Linked DNA regions of Arabidopsis thaliana. The protein of the gene in region 1 purifies or fractionates together with the protein of each later gene. This does not show direct contact. Each region holds a gene or a part of one and is shown in the gene's direction. Other genes may lie near its edges.

Region 1 (6,089 bases):
AGTTGATTTTATTCATAACATTTTATTGGTCTACATGCTTCTGCTTGATCAATCTTGTGCTTCTCGTAGGTTAATCCTCATACGCATCAGGTCAAACTATGCGATTTTGGTAGCGCAAAAGTTCTGGTATAGCATTTGTAAAGAGACATGTTGATTTGTTTTCATATTGAAAAGTTTGCACTTTTTATGGTGCTATGCAATGTTAACTAGTCCTAACTATTTTAGCTTTGCCCCTCTGTAACAGGTTAAAGGCGAGCCAAACATCTCATACATCTGCTCCCGTTACTATCGAGCACCTGAACTTATATTTGGAGCTACAGAATATACAACAACAATTGACATATGGTCTGCAGGCTGTGTTCTTGCTGAATTGCTTCTGGGACAGGTAATATGACTGTCCAAACTTTCCTCCATTTATCTTTTACAAATGATTTGATTTACCGAATGATGTCTAAAGTTATATATTACCAATCTTTGGCTTGTCCAACTTTTGGTTAGCCTCTATTTCCAGGTGAGAGTGGAGTTGACCAGCTAGTTGAGATAATAAAGGTACTTCAATTTGGTTAAACAAACACACATAATCCTAGCCATTGCTATATTGAACATAGAGTGGATCATTGATTATATGGAATGAAGAGGCTCCATTTCCTGCTATTGATTGCCATCATTTTGTTTACTGTGTGTGTTACAGGTTCTTGGAACACCAACACGGGAGGAAATCAAATGCATGAATCCAAACTACACAGAATTCAAATTCCCGCAAATAAAGGCTCATCCTTGGCACAAAGTAAGCAAACACATCATCAGTTTTTCCTTAACATTGATCTCCATATATTCTTACGATTGAAAAATCTGTTGTTGGTTCTTAAGATATTCCATAAGCGTACACCTCCAGAAGCTGTAGACCTTGTCTCAAGACTTCTCCAGTATTCTCCAAACCTCAGATCAACCGCTGTAAGTCAATGAAGTGATTACCATAATAACATTATGTTTGATATATCTGGTTGGTTGATTCAAACTTACTTGTTATTGTAGATGGAGGCGATAGTTCACCCGTTCTTCGATGAGCTACGTGATCCCAATACACGTCTTCCTAATGGTCGTGCCTTGCCTCCTCTCTTCAACTTTAAACCTCAAGGTCTGTCTCCTCCAAATATGCTTTTGTTTGTTTCCCAATGCTCCGTTTTAACAAAGACTAAAAGTGTGTGCTTCTTGTTAAATATGTAGAGCTAAAAGGAGCAAGTTTAGAGTTGTTGTCCAAGCTTATACCTGACCACGCCCGAAAACAATGTTCCTTCCTCGCTCTCTAAATCTCTTCCTCTCTCTCTATATATATGTGTGTGTGTGTGTATGTACACATGCATATAATATGCTTATCGTTTCTAAGTAATGGAGATAGCTTCTCAGGATTATCATTAGCTTTCATCTTTCATGTATCTTTGTTGTTTATTGTCTTATCACAACCTTTGTACTTTATTACATACAATGATTAGTGTAATGTATGTGACGGTCTTTGACTCGCCGGTCGCTACAGTTATGTTGGATACTAAATTATAAAATAAACTTCTCGCTCGTCACGTGTCATTGCATGCATCCAAAGCTCATGCTTCAAAGCTTAGCCAAACTTATTTTTAAAAAAGCCTATGTTCTGTGTAAAAGTGTCATTTACGAGAGTTTCTTGTTTAAGTTTAACCAATTTCACTTCCTCAAACGAAATACGGTAATTGGTAATATCCTCTAAACATGAATTATCATTGACTATAAAAATTAGTTTCGCAAATTGCCTCTAAGCACCACAAGTGTCACGTAACGTGTCATTTATTCATGTTTATTGATTTAGTTAATTAAAAACATTGTAGTTTAATTATTGAAGTAGTACAAAGAATAGGGACTAAATTGCAATACTCTGAATTTGTTTTTTTCTTTTTTAGAATCATCCGACTTTTTGTTTCACGGTTTCCTCCTCCAGTAAACTGACGACGATACAAGCTCTCTCACCAACGGCGACAGTATCTTTGCCGGCGGCGGGAGCGCTTCTGCTTAATCTGTAGCTCAAACTAAAAATTCTCTGGGTATTACTCATGGTGATTTGGAATAACGATGATGATGATTTTTTGGAGATTGATAACTTTCAATCTTCTCCACGGTCATCTCCAATACATGCAATGCAGTGTAGGGTCGAAAATCTAGCTGGTGTAGCCGTGGTAAGTGATCCAATCCAACAGTCATAAGTTTATGCCTAAGCAGAATCATTGCTTATGTGAATTTTTGTTTTGTTTCAGACAACTAGTTCTTTGAGCTCTCCTACTGAGACAACTGATTTAGTTCAGATGGGCTTCTCAGACGAGGTTTTTGCTACATTGTTTGACATGGGATTTCCTGTTGAGATGATTTCTAGAGCGATCAAGGAAACTGGTGAGGCTTTTTTCTCTTGTTTGTATTCCTTTCTGGATATATATGATCCGTAACTTGATACCAATAATTATACAGGACCAAATGTAGAAACTTCGGTTATAATTGATACTATCTCCAAATACTCAGTGAGTTTCTAATACTTTGATCTCTTGGGTTGCTTGTCATTTACATGTGCTTCTGTCATCACAGTATTCATATCCTCTCCTTTGTTTATTTGTGAAGAGCGACTGTGAAGCTGGTTCTTCCAAGTCCAAGGCTATTGATCATTTCCTTGCTATGGGATTTGATGAAGAAAAAGTTGTCAAAGCCATTCAAGAACATGGTACTTACAGATTTCTCTCCTCCTTAAGTAAGAAGTAACACTTTATCACTTTGCTGATATTTGCTTTATAAATCGCAGGAGAAGACAATATGGAAGCAATTGCAAATGCATTGCTCTCTTGTCCAGTAAGCGATGTTACGAAAATATACTGTCTCTTGACATTAAAAAAATAGTACTTAAAGTTCGTTGATGGTTTGTAGGAGGCTAAGAAACTGCCAGCAGCAGTAGAGGAAGAAGATGGCATTGACTGGTCATCAAGTGATGATGATACCAATTACACCGATATGTTAAACTCAGATGATGAGGTATAACTCTTTCATGTTGGTGATAACATATTTAAGCATCCCAGGTTTGAATTGTAAATGTATCTCACTGCTATTTTGTATATGTATCTAATTTTATGCGTTCTTAATCTATTTTAAATCATGACAGAAAGATCCAAACTCAAATGAAAATGGCAGCAAAATACGGTCTTTGGTGAAGATGGGTTTCTCAGAGCTTGAAGCTTCTTTAGCTGTCGAGAGATGTGGTAACTTTATTTTAAACGATTGCCATTGTCATTAAATTTTAGTTCCGTTTTGTTCAGGTTTCTTCTAGACAACGTCGTATAAATTGCTTGGTTTAGCCTCTGATTTAGTGGTGTAGGCCTTAGATGTGTTTGCTGAGCATTTTGATTGTATTTCACTAATCGAAAGTTGTCATTAGTTCTGTCTTAGCTTCTGGTTCTGTGATGTACGCCTTAGATATGTTTGTAGAGAATGTGATCGTATTTCACAAAATGATAAAAGTTGTCAGTACTTGATAAAATTGTATGTTCACTAGTTCCTTTTTATTCAGGTTTCTTCTAGAGGAAGTGGCATAAGCCAAATTGCTTAGTTTTAGTGTAATGTGATAGTCAAATTGTGGCTTTAGCCTCTGGTTCTGTGATTTAGGCTTGAAATGTGTTTGCTGAGCATTGTGATTGTATTTCACTAAATGATACAGTTGTCAGATGTTAATATATATCTCTTACTTACTCTAAGTATGTTGCTGCCTTATCCAGACTCATATGATTGTAATTTCAGGAGAAAATGTGGATATTGCAGAGCTCACAGACTTCCTTTGTGCTGCTCAAATGGCTAGGGAATTTAGTGAGTTTTACACTGAACATGAAGAACAAAAGGTACTGTTAAAACCTTTTTTATAATCTATCTTTTGTAAGTTAATTCCTTTGGGAACTGATTATTTTGGGAAATTTGGTGTATGCAGCCTAGACATAATATTAAGAAAAGGCGGTTTGAGTCAAAAGGAGAGCCAAGATCATCTGTTGATGACGAGCCGATTCGTCTACCAAATCCAATGATAGGATTTGGGGTTCCAAACGAGCCCGGACTCATTACACATAGATCGCTTCCAGAGTTAGCCCGAGGGCCACCTTTTTTCTACTATGAGAATGTCGCCCTCACACCTAAAGGCGTTTGGGAGACTATTTCCAGGCACTTGTTCGAGATCCCACCTGAGTTTGTGGACTCAAAATATTTCTGTGTTGCAGCGAGGAAGAGAGGCTACATCCACAATCTCCCCATCAACAACAGATTTCAGATTCAGCCTCCACCAAAATACACCATCCATGATGCATTTCCTTTGAGTAAGAGATGGTGGCCAGAATGGGATAAAAGGACCAAGCTTAATTGCATTTTGACTTGTACAGGTAGTGCTCAGTTGACTAACAGGATTCGTGTAGCCCTTGAGCCTTACAATGAAGAACCAGAACCGCCTAAGCATGTACAAAGATATGTGATTGACCAGTGCAAAAAATGGAATTTGGTTTGGGTGGGTAAAAACAAAGCTGCCCCACTCGAGCCAGATGAGATGGAGAGTATTCTGGGATTTCCAAAAAATCATACTCGTGGTGGAGGCATGAGTAGAACTGAGCGCTTCAAGTCCTTAGGAAATTCGTTTCAGGTAATTTTACATATCATATGCGTAATAATACTCTTTGTAGTTAAAGTCTTTTGCGTATTTGATTCATTGGTGGGTGGCTTGAATACCTTGGTTTAATGGTTGGTTGAACTTGTTTTAGGTTGATACTGTGGCGTATCATCTGTCTGTCCTGAAGCCCATTTTCCCACATGGAATCAATGTTCTCTCTCTTTTCACGGGTATTGGTGGTGGGGAAGTGGCACTTCATCGTCTCCAAATCAAAATGAAGCTTGTTGTGTCTGTTGAGATTTCAAAAGTCAACAGAAATATTTTGAAGGACTTTTGGGAGCAAACTAACCAGACTGGAGAATTGATCGAGTTTTCAGACATCCAACACTTGACTAATGACACAATCGAAGGGTTGATGGAGAAATATGGTGGATTTGATCTTGTAATTGGAGGAAGTCCTTGTAACAATCTGGCAGGCGGTAATAGGGTAAGCCGAGTTGGTCTTGAAGGTGATCAATCTTCGTTGTTCTTTGAGTATTGCCGTATTCTAGAGGTGGTACGTGCGAGGATGAGAGGATCTTGATCATTCACATTACCTGAAGTAGATTGAAGTAGATATGACTCCATGAAATCTAGTTGAACTTTATTTTTCTATATCTGTTATGTAATATGGCCATGAAGGTACATTTTTGAATAATATAAGTCAACCTAACTCTCTTTTGCTTTTTGCGACAATATATCTGCAACTGCATTTGCACTTTTCTCTTCCCTGCCTTAACACTGATGTTCAGTAATGTATTCAACCAGACAAATGTGTCATCATATAATCTTTGATCCTTCCTTCATGCGAAGGGTTAATGGAGAAATATGTTTGGGGTATTTGTATAGACACTTTGGTTAAGGAGTCAATTAAGAGTAGTCAGTGACTTGTAAGCTGAAACTGCAGTACTTTTTTTTTGATATACTGATATTGCAGTTCTTAATAACGAAACAAACTTGTTTACTTCAAAATATCAAAAAGTCATTCCTATTTAGAGGTCTAAAACATTTATCAGCTGAGAAACATCCACTACTTAAACACCAACACAGAAAGAACCCATAAACGAGTCTTTATTTTCCATAATATAAACAGAAAAAGGTTTCTCGTAGACCAAAACATTAGAGTATCCTTCAGGTGTGTATGATTTTAAAAAGTACTAGCAGCTTCGGTCCACACACCACAAAATGAATAATTTACCCCAAGAGAAAGAGGCTCTTCTATATGTATATTGCCCCAATCTGGTTTAGATTCCAATGACTTATCTATTTTTCATCATCATCGCCTCATGAAAGCTGCGAGGCGGAGATGAAGTGGACGGTGGACCTCCTCTGAATCTCTCAGGACTACGGCTTCTCTCTCTTCCCCATCCTGAGCTGCCACTGCTTCAACCACCAAAAACCG
Region 2 (7,776 bases), on another chromosome or scaffold:
CACATTATCTTGTACACGGCCTTGTACATCATCTTATACACCTCTGTTTATACCATCTCATACATCCCTTCACGCACACAGCCTAGTATATTATTTTGTACTGAACCATATGAATTATCCCATACACCGTCTTATACACTACCTCGTATACATTTTTGTAAATTGTCCGATACTCTCATGTGATGTAATTTTAACCATAAATACACATTACGCATATGCGTGGTATGTCATTGGAGTAACTAAAGATTGAATCAAATCCACGGGAAAATGCCATAACAGTATAACACATTAAATTATGATGAAATCATTTGCCATAAGACGGTATGAGAATCTACGGTCTCACTAATACCCTAACATGCATAGAATAAAAGAAGGGATAAATGAAAGCAATTAAACTATATATAGTAGATAATTGAAAACTAAACTAACAAAATTAAGAACTAAAATGAGCAAATAAACAAGATAGATAAATTGAACAATCAAGATGTTAGAAATCATGCAATCGATCTACATATTTTCAAGATAATGAACCTCTAACAATTAGGCTAATTCATGATTAGTGTGGTAAAAGCCTCTAACGTAACTTAGCCAAATTCAAAATCAATTTGGTAAACTATCACAATGGTTAAGAAACAATGCACACAAATTCCTTTAAGTTACAAAGCATCCGATCCTAAATATCACTTGCTAGATGGTTAGGCCAGAAATCGTTTTCTTTCAATTTTCTTTGGGTCTGAACGTAGACACAACTCAAACACCTCTCTTGATCTTGTATGCTTTAAAATGTGGTCTCTTCAAGTCGGGTATCTTGTTTGTTTTGGTTCCGAGTGCATCTGTCTTTAGCCACCTAGCTAGCTAGAAGGTAATTGTAGATATCCATTTTCACCAACTAGCTAGTTTTTGTCCTCCAGCTGGCTTGGCTAACTACGTACGTTCCAAATGTCAAACACTTAAAAACTATATGTCAACACTAACTAACTAAATTTATTATATCCTATATCTCAAGTGTACACAATGTATAATATTAATAACATAATTCAAGCACCTCCTGATCTTATATACTTCAAAAATGTGATGTCTCTCTAAGTGGAGTATCATTTTAATTTTGGTTCCAATTGCATCTGTAATTAACCATATATAGCTAACTTGCCGATGTGTGTAATATAACTAAACTATAGAGAATATTTGTAGATACCCTCATTCTCCAGCTGGCTAGCTATGTAAGTTCCAAATGTCACACACTTGACTATTTGTCTTTCTCCACTTATAACCTTAATCACAGATCAAGAATCATCTCCAATTATAGTTTTCTTTATTGAATCCACCTAATCTCTATTCACCAATTTATAATTTTTATAATTGCGGCTTAGATACCTTTTTAGTCAATAATCAAAAATGGATTCCAGTGAGGATCAACCATAAACGAGATCATTGAAGCACATAAACTAATTGACAATAAGTTACATAGTTTAGGAGACATAAAACTGTTTAAATTTTATATTGTGCTTAATAATAATTTATAATTATTGTAACACAGTTGTTAAATCCATAGTTATGTAGCATGTACGTGTCAATTAATGCGCACATTCAATATTAGAACACAGAAGGTTTGTCTACCACCACTACCAATTGAAATTAAAAAATTTAAAATAATCTAGCGGGACACAAAGCGAAGTCAATAACATAAGTCAACCATTTTAACGGTCAAGATTGTAAGAGTAGCTCTACTATGATGGAGCCGTGACGTAGAGGAACATAACTGAAAGCGAAGAATCCTCGATTTATGCTACTGTCACTGAACCATTTTCCTCTCAGGTCGGAGCTAAATTTTGAGAGTAAAATAAAAAAGCAAAAGAGAGAAATTGAAAAAAAAAGAAAGAAAAATAATCCTCTCTTGTTTCGGCTAGGGTTTCGTTTTTGTTTCATCGATAAACTCAAAGGTGATGATTTTAGGGTCTTGTGAGTGTGCTTTTTTGTTTGATTCTACTGTAGGGTTTATGTTCTTTAGCTCATAGGTTTTGTGTATTTCTTAGAAATGTGGCTTCTTTAATCTCTGGGTTTGTGACTTTTTGTGTGGTTTCTGTGTTTTTCATATCAAAAACCTATTTTTTCCGAGTTTTTTTTTACAAATTCTTACTCTCAAGCTTGAATACTTCACATGCAGTGTTCTTTTGTAGATTTTAGAGTTAATGTGTTAAAAAGTTTGGATTTTTCTTGCTTATAGAGCTTCTTCACTTTGATTTTGTGGGTTTTTTTGTTTTAAAGGTGAGATTTTTGATGAGGTTTTTGCTTCAAAGATGTCACCTTTCTGGGTTTGTCTTTTGAATAAAGCTATGAACTGTCACATGGCTGACGCAATTTTGTTACTATGTCATGAAAGCTGACGTTTTTCCGTGTTATACATGTTTGCTTACACTTGCATGCGTCAAAAAAATTGGGGCTTTTTAGTTTTAGTCAAAGATTTTACTTCTCTTTTGGGATTTATGAAGGAAAGTTGCAAACTTTCTCAAATTTTACCATTTTTGCTTTGATGTTTGTTTAGATTGCGACAGAACAAACTCATATATGTTGAAATTTTTGCTTGGTTTTGTATAGGATTGTGTCTTTTGCTTATAAATGTTGAAATCTGAACTTTTTTTTTGTTTGGTTTCTTTGAGCAGGAGATGGATTCAACAAATGGTAACGGAGCTGATCTTGAATCAGCAAATGGGGCAAACGGGAGTGGGGTTACTGAGGCATTACCACCTCCTCCACCAGTTATACCTCCAAATGTGGAACCAGTTCGTGTTAAAACTGAACTTGCTGAGAAGAAGGGGCCAGTTCGAGTTCCTATGGCTCGAAAAGGATTTGGAACAAGGGGCCAAAAGATCCCCTTGTTAACAAATCATTTCAAAGTCGATGTGGCTAATCTTCAGGGTCATTTCTTCCACTACAGTGTAAGTTTTTGAAACTATTTTGTGTTATTTTTGTTGGATGATTGATGTCACTAGAATGGATGCAGTGTGTATGTTTTTTTGCTACTGTTATGTTGACTTATTCTGTTATTTGGTTCTGAATGATGTCAAACTAATGGGATTATTTGTGGGTTTGTACAGGTGGCTCTATTCTATGATGATGGTCGTCCTGTTGAACAAAAGGGTGTTGGAAGAAAAATCCTTGACAAGGTGCATCAGACTTACCATTCTGATCTGGATGGTAAAGAGTTTGCTTATGACGGTGAGAAGACGTTGTTTACATATGGAGCTTTGCCTAGTAACAAGATGGATTTTTCTGTGGTGCTTGAGGAAGTATCTGCTACAAGGTAAAACATCATCTGACTATAGTCATTACATTGGTTGTGTGCTTTAGTTTTTGTTCTTAGTAAGGATTTTGTGAGCAGGGCTAATGGAAACGGAAGCCCCAATGGGAATGAAAGTCCAAGTGATGGTGATAGGAAAAGACTGCGTAGGCCTAACCGGTCCAAAAACTTTAGAGTGGAGATCAGCTATGCGGCCAAAATTCCTCTTCAAGCTCTTGCTAATGCAATGCGGGGACAAGAATCAGAGAATTCCCAGGAGGCAATACGGGTTCTTGATATCATATTGAGGCAACATGCTGCTAGACAGTAAGTGTCAAGTGTATATATGTATTTTGTTAATCTCATATATTTGTCTTTCTAATACCTATGGTACAAATTGCAGAGGTTGCTTGCTTGTTCGACAGTCTTTTTTCCACAATGATCCAACCAACTGTGAACCAGTTGGTGGTAACATCTTAGGATGTAGGGGATTTCACTCCAGTTTCAGAACAACGCAGGGTGGCATGTCACTTAATATGGGTACATAATTTCACTTGTACTTGATGTTGGTGTTTGATTCTGTCTGTTGTAGCAATAATTTAGTGTCTAATAGTTTATGTTTTGTTCTTATGCTAGATGTTACAACCACCATGATCATCAAGCCTGGTCCAGTGGTTGATTTCCTAATTGCTAACCAAAATGCTAGGGACCCTTATTCGATTGACTGGTCTAAGGTTAACTACTTATTATGATATGTGGCTTTTTCATAATCTAAACATGTTCCTTACCTCTTTTGCTTGGCTTGACACATTTTAACATGTTGTTTTCAACAGGCTAAACGAACCCTTAAGAACCTAAGGGTAAAGGTCAGCCCCTCAGGCCAAGAATTCAAGATAACCGGATTGAGTGACAAGCCTTGCAGGGAACAAACGTAAGATATTCACTAATTTGACTTTGTTGTGAGATGCATTTGTTTCTGTTTTAGTTTTCTGACGTTGTGATCTCTTTCAAAGATAAATGGTTCTCTGAAGTTTGCTTTTTACACTGTCTAGGTTTGAATTGAAGAAAAGGAACCCAAATGAAAATGGAGAGTTCGAAACTACTGAAGTTACAGTTGCTGACTACTTCCGCGATACAAGGCATATTGATTTGCAATATTCTGCGGATTTGCCTTGCATCAATGTTGGGAAGCCAAAGCGACCCACTTACATTCCTCTCGAGGTTTGCCTCTTATACTCATCAACGTTCTCATAGTCATGGTATTAATTTGTTTTCAAAAATCATGCTAATGTATGTAATGTGGTGGAATTTTCGCAGCTCTGCGCGTTGGTTCCACTTCAGAGGTACACAAAAGCACTTACCACGTTCCAAAGATCTGCCCTTGTTGAGAAATCCAGACAGAAACCCCAAGAGAGGATGACTGTTCTGTCCAAAGTAAAGTATCCTGACCGCTTCATAACTGTTCTGTTTTGTCAGTGAACTGGAATTTACATATCTTTGGTTTCATGCTTTCAGGCTCTGAAAGTTAGCAACTATGATGCGGAACCACTCCTGCGATCCTGTGGCATTTCGATCAGCTCCAACTTTACTCAGGTGGAGGGTCGTGTTCTACCAGCTCCCAAGGTATGGTGCGATCGCTTACTTTTTGACATGATGAATTGTTTTTAGCTTTTGCATACATGTAATATTCTCTTGTTTTCTTTGACTGACAGCTGAAAATGGGATGTGGATCTGAAACCTTTCCCAGAAATGGTCGCTGGAACTTCAACAACAAGGTGCTGTTTCTCTCTGCCTTTCTTTGTATTTTACCTGTTCAGAGAGTCTGATTCCCTTTGTTGTACAGGAATTTGTTGAGCCCACCAAAATTCAACGATGGGTTGTTGTCAATTTCTCTGCTCGCTGTAATGTACGTCAAGTTGTTGATGATCTGATAAAAATTGGAGGATCAAAAGGAATTGTAAGCAGGATTCTCTTCTTTTGTTTTTAGTATTCTTGAAAACTTGTTTGTGATTATCAACAATTTAGATACTGCTTCTTTCTGTATTCTGTCCCAGGAAATTGCTTCTCCCTTTCAAGTGTTTGAGGAGGGTAATCAATTCCGCCGTGCTCCTCCTATGATTCGTGTTGAGAACATGTTTAAGGACATCCAATCGAAACTCCCTGGTGTCCCACAATTCATACTATGTGTGCTCCCTGACAAAAAGAACAGTGATCTCTATGGTTAGATATCTCTTAAATCCAGTCTTCAATCATCTTTTTGTTTTATATAATAGAAGTTTCCTTGGATAAATACTTTGAATCCTTCATCAGGTCCATGGAAGAAAAAAAACTTAACTGAATTTGGCATTGTTACTCAATGCATGGCTCCAACGCGGCAACCTAATGATCAGTATCTTACTAACTTACTTCTGAAGATTAATGCAAAGGTGATCTCTCTCCTTTTTTCTCTTTTGGAAATGGTTTTTGCTTCTTGTGTGCAATCTCTGATAACATATAACTACAGCTTGGAGGCCTGAACTCAATGTTAAGTGTAGAGCGTACACCTGCGTTCACTGTGATTTCTAAGGTTCCAACCATTATCCTTGGGATGGATGTTTCACATGGATCTCCTGGACAGTCTGATGTCCCGTCCATCGCTGCTGTAAAATGTTTACTCACTGCTGTTGTTTGCTTTTTAGTTTGGCTAGTTCTTCAAGACTGATATTTAGTTGTCTCTTTTGTTATGATTAACTTAGGTGGTGAGTTCTAGGGAGTGGCCACTGATATCCAAATATAGAGCATCTGTTCGGACACAGCCTTCTAAGGCTGAGATGATTGAGTCCCTTGTCAAGAAAAATGGAACTGAAGACGATGGCATTATCAAGTGTGCACTTACACTAACTCTTGATGTGGCTTTTGTTTAATCTTTGCATGAAGTCTGGTTTAAGTATCTATGTAACTTTATTTGTTGATTGCAGGGAGTTGCTGGTAGATTTCTACACCAGCTCGAATAAGAGAAAACCAGAGCATATCATAATTTTCAGGTATGTTACATCAGAGCTTTTGTCTCTTCATTTTTCCCATCTTTATTTTCTCATATTGGTTGTTTCGATGTTTAATGCTTCTAGGGATGGTGTGAGTGAATCTCAATTCAATCAGGTTCTGAATATTGAACTTGATCAGATCATCGAGGTAGTTGAAACTTCAAAATAAAAGTTTCTCAGTGTAATTTTCTTCTTCTGTTAGTACTTAATTGCATTTCTCTTTCCTCAGGCTTGCAAGCTCTTAGACGCAAATTGGAACCCAAAGTTCCTTTTGTTGGTGGCTCAAAAGAATCATCATACCAAGTTCTTCCAGCCAACGTCTCCTGAAAATGTTCCTCCAGGTGATTGACAAATCTATATTATAACCTTTTTTGACACATAGCTGATCTCTATCTCATGGGGGTTTTGGTTATTTTGCAGGGACAATCATTGACAACAAAATATGTCACCCAAAGAACAATGATTTCTACCTCTGTGCTCACGCTGGAATGATTGTAAGTTTCATCTATCAACTCAAAACTTTATTTGTTAATGTTTGCTCCTCTGAATCGTTTTAATACTCTTTATGTTCTGAATTAGGGAACTACCCGCCCAACTCACTACCACGTCCTGTATGATGAGATTGGTTTTTCAGCTGACGAACTTCAGGAACTTGTCCACTCGCTCTCCTATGTGTATGTAGTCTCTTATTCAACCTTCATTACATTTTTTGTGACAACTTCGATTGTGATGATAACAGAAATTATCTGATTTCTTTCTTTGGCAAAATTCCAGGTACCAAAGAAGCACCAGTGCCATTTCTGTTGGTAATTACCATAACTGTTTTCTCTACTCCATCGATTTAAAGTCGTCTTCATTTGTTCTCTTAATAACTGACATTTTAATTTTTTGTGCAGTTGCGCCGATCTGCTATGCTCACTTGGCAGCTGCTCAGCTTGGGACGTTCATGAAGTTTGAAGATCAGTCTGAGACATCATCAAGCCATGGTGGTATCACAGCTCCAGGACCAATCTCTGTTGCACAGCTCCCAAGACTCAAAGACAACGTCGCCAACTCCATGTTCTTCTGTTAAATGAGCAGCCCTACTTGGCTCAGTAAGTAAGTAGTAGTTCAATAGGCTATCTGACTTTCAGCTTAGGATCTCTCTCGGCCTTGAAGCCAGGCATCGACACTAAGGCTTGGAATGTTTTTTGTGACTATTATCGCCAGCCTTGTTTGCCTGTTGGGGTTTGAATATGCTTTTGTCCCCCTTAACAATTCGGTTGTTTAATTAAAGACTTATTGTAGTGAATATCTAAGTTCAGGAAGTTACCCTTTTGTCTAAATCGTTCTTGCATTGGAAACAGACTACATACATAACCTAGACAAAGCAAAGCCTTTTGTGTAGTGCTCATGATTAAAAACTGAAACCAAAACAAATGACAGAACCTAGTCAAAGTTAAGAGTTCACGACTTGTTGTAGTGGATATTTCTGAA

Evidence for each region. The genes of interacting proteins can lie anywhere in the genome.
Region 2: the proteins of DRM2 (region 1) and AGO4 purify together in Arabidopsis thaliana (affinity purification with western blotting; one study listed by BioGRID). This does not show direct contact.

The regions. Positions count from the first base shown.
Region 1 is NC_003076.8:4,714,571-4,720,659, reverse strand, and holds DRM2 (domains rearranged methyltransferase 2), read left to right. Parts: upstream 1-1,955; 5' UTR 1,956-2,081; coding exon 2,082-2,204; intron 2,205-2,282; coding exon 2,283-2,415; intron 2,416-2,490; coding exon 2,491-2,540; intron 2,541-2,637; coding exon 2,638-2,737; intron 2,738-2,815; coding exon 2,816-2,862; intron 2,863-2,937; coding exon 2,938-3,042; intron 3,043-3,169; coding exon 3,170-3,266; intron 3,267-3,801; coding exon 3,802-3,899; intron 3,900-3,985; coding exon 3,986-4,681; intron 4,682-4,799; coding exon 4,800-5,231; 3' UTR 5,232-5,555; downstream 5,556-6,089. Other genes in the region: SK13 (shaggy-like kinase 13), read left to right, coding at 70-126, 245-385, 499-549, 692-787, 871-954, 1,036-1,138, 1,228-1,310; AT5G14610 (DEAD box RNA helicase family protein), read right to left, coding at 5,947-6,067. UniProt on the Arabidopsis thaliana protein: Involved in de novo DNA methylation. Controls asymmetric and CpNpG methylation. Required for FWA gene silencing but not for the maintenance of SUP gene silencing. Functionally redundant to CMT3 to maintain non-CpG methylation.
Region 2 is NC_003071.7:11,536,391-11,544,166, reverse strand, and holds AGO4 (Argonaute family protein), read left to right. Parts: upstream 1-1,775; 5' UTR 1,776-1,940; exon of another isoform or gene 1,941-1,959; intron 1,960-2,660; 5' UTR 2,661-2,663; coding exon 2,664-2,936; intron 2,937-3,095; coding exon 3,096-3,301; intron 3,302-3,379; coding exon 3,380-3,604; intron 3,605-3,680; coding exon 3,681-3,817; intron 3,818-3,913; coding exon 3,914-4,011; intron 4,012-4,110; coding exon 4,111-4,208; intron 4,209-4,329; coding exon 4,330-4,498; intron 4,499-4,594; coding exon 4,595-4,711; intron 4,712-4,792; coding exon 4,793-4,900; intron 4,901-4,989; coding exon 4,990-5,052; intron 5,053-5,120; coding exon 5,121-5,234; intron 5,235-5,331; coding exon 5,332-5,497; intron 5,498-5,587; coding exon 5,588-5,703; intron 5,704-5,780; coding exon 5,781-5,918; intron 5,919-6,012; coding exon 6,013-6,140; intron 6,141-6,234; coding exon 6,235-6,300; intron 6,301-6,384; coding exon 6,385-6,448; intron 6,449-6,529; coding exon 6,530-6,641; and 10 more. UniProt on the Arabidopsis thaliana protein: Together with RDM3, required for transcriptional gene silencing (TGS) by DNA methylation and repressive histone modifications (H3K9me2) of several chromatin loci.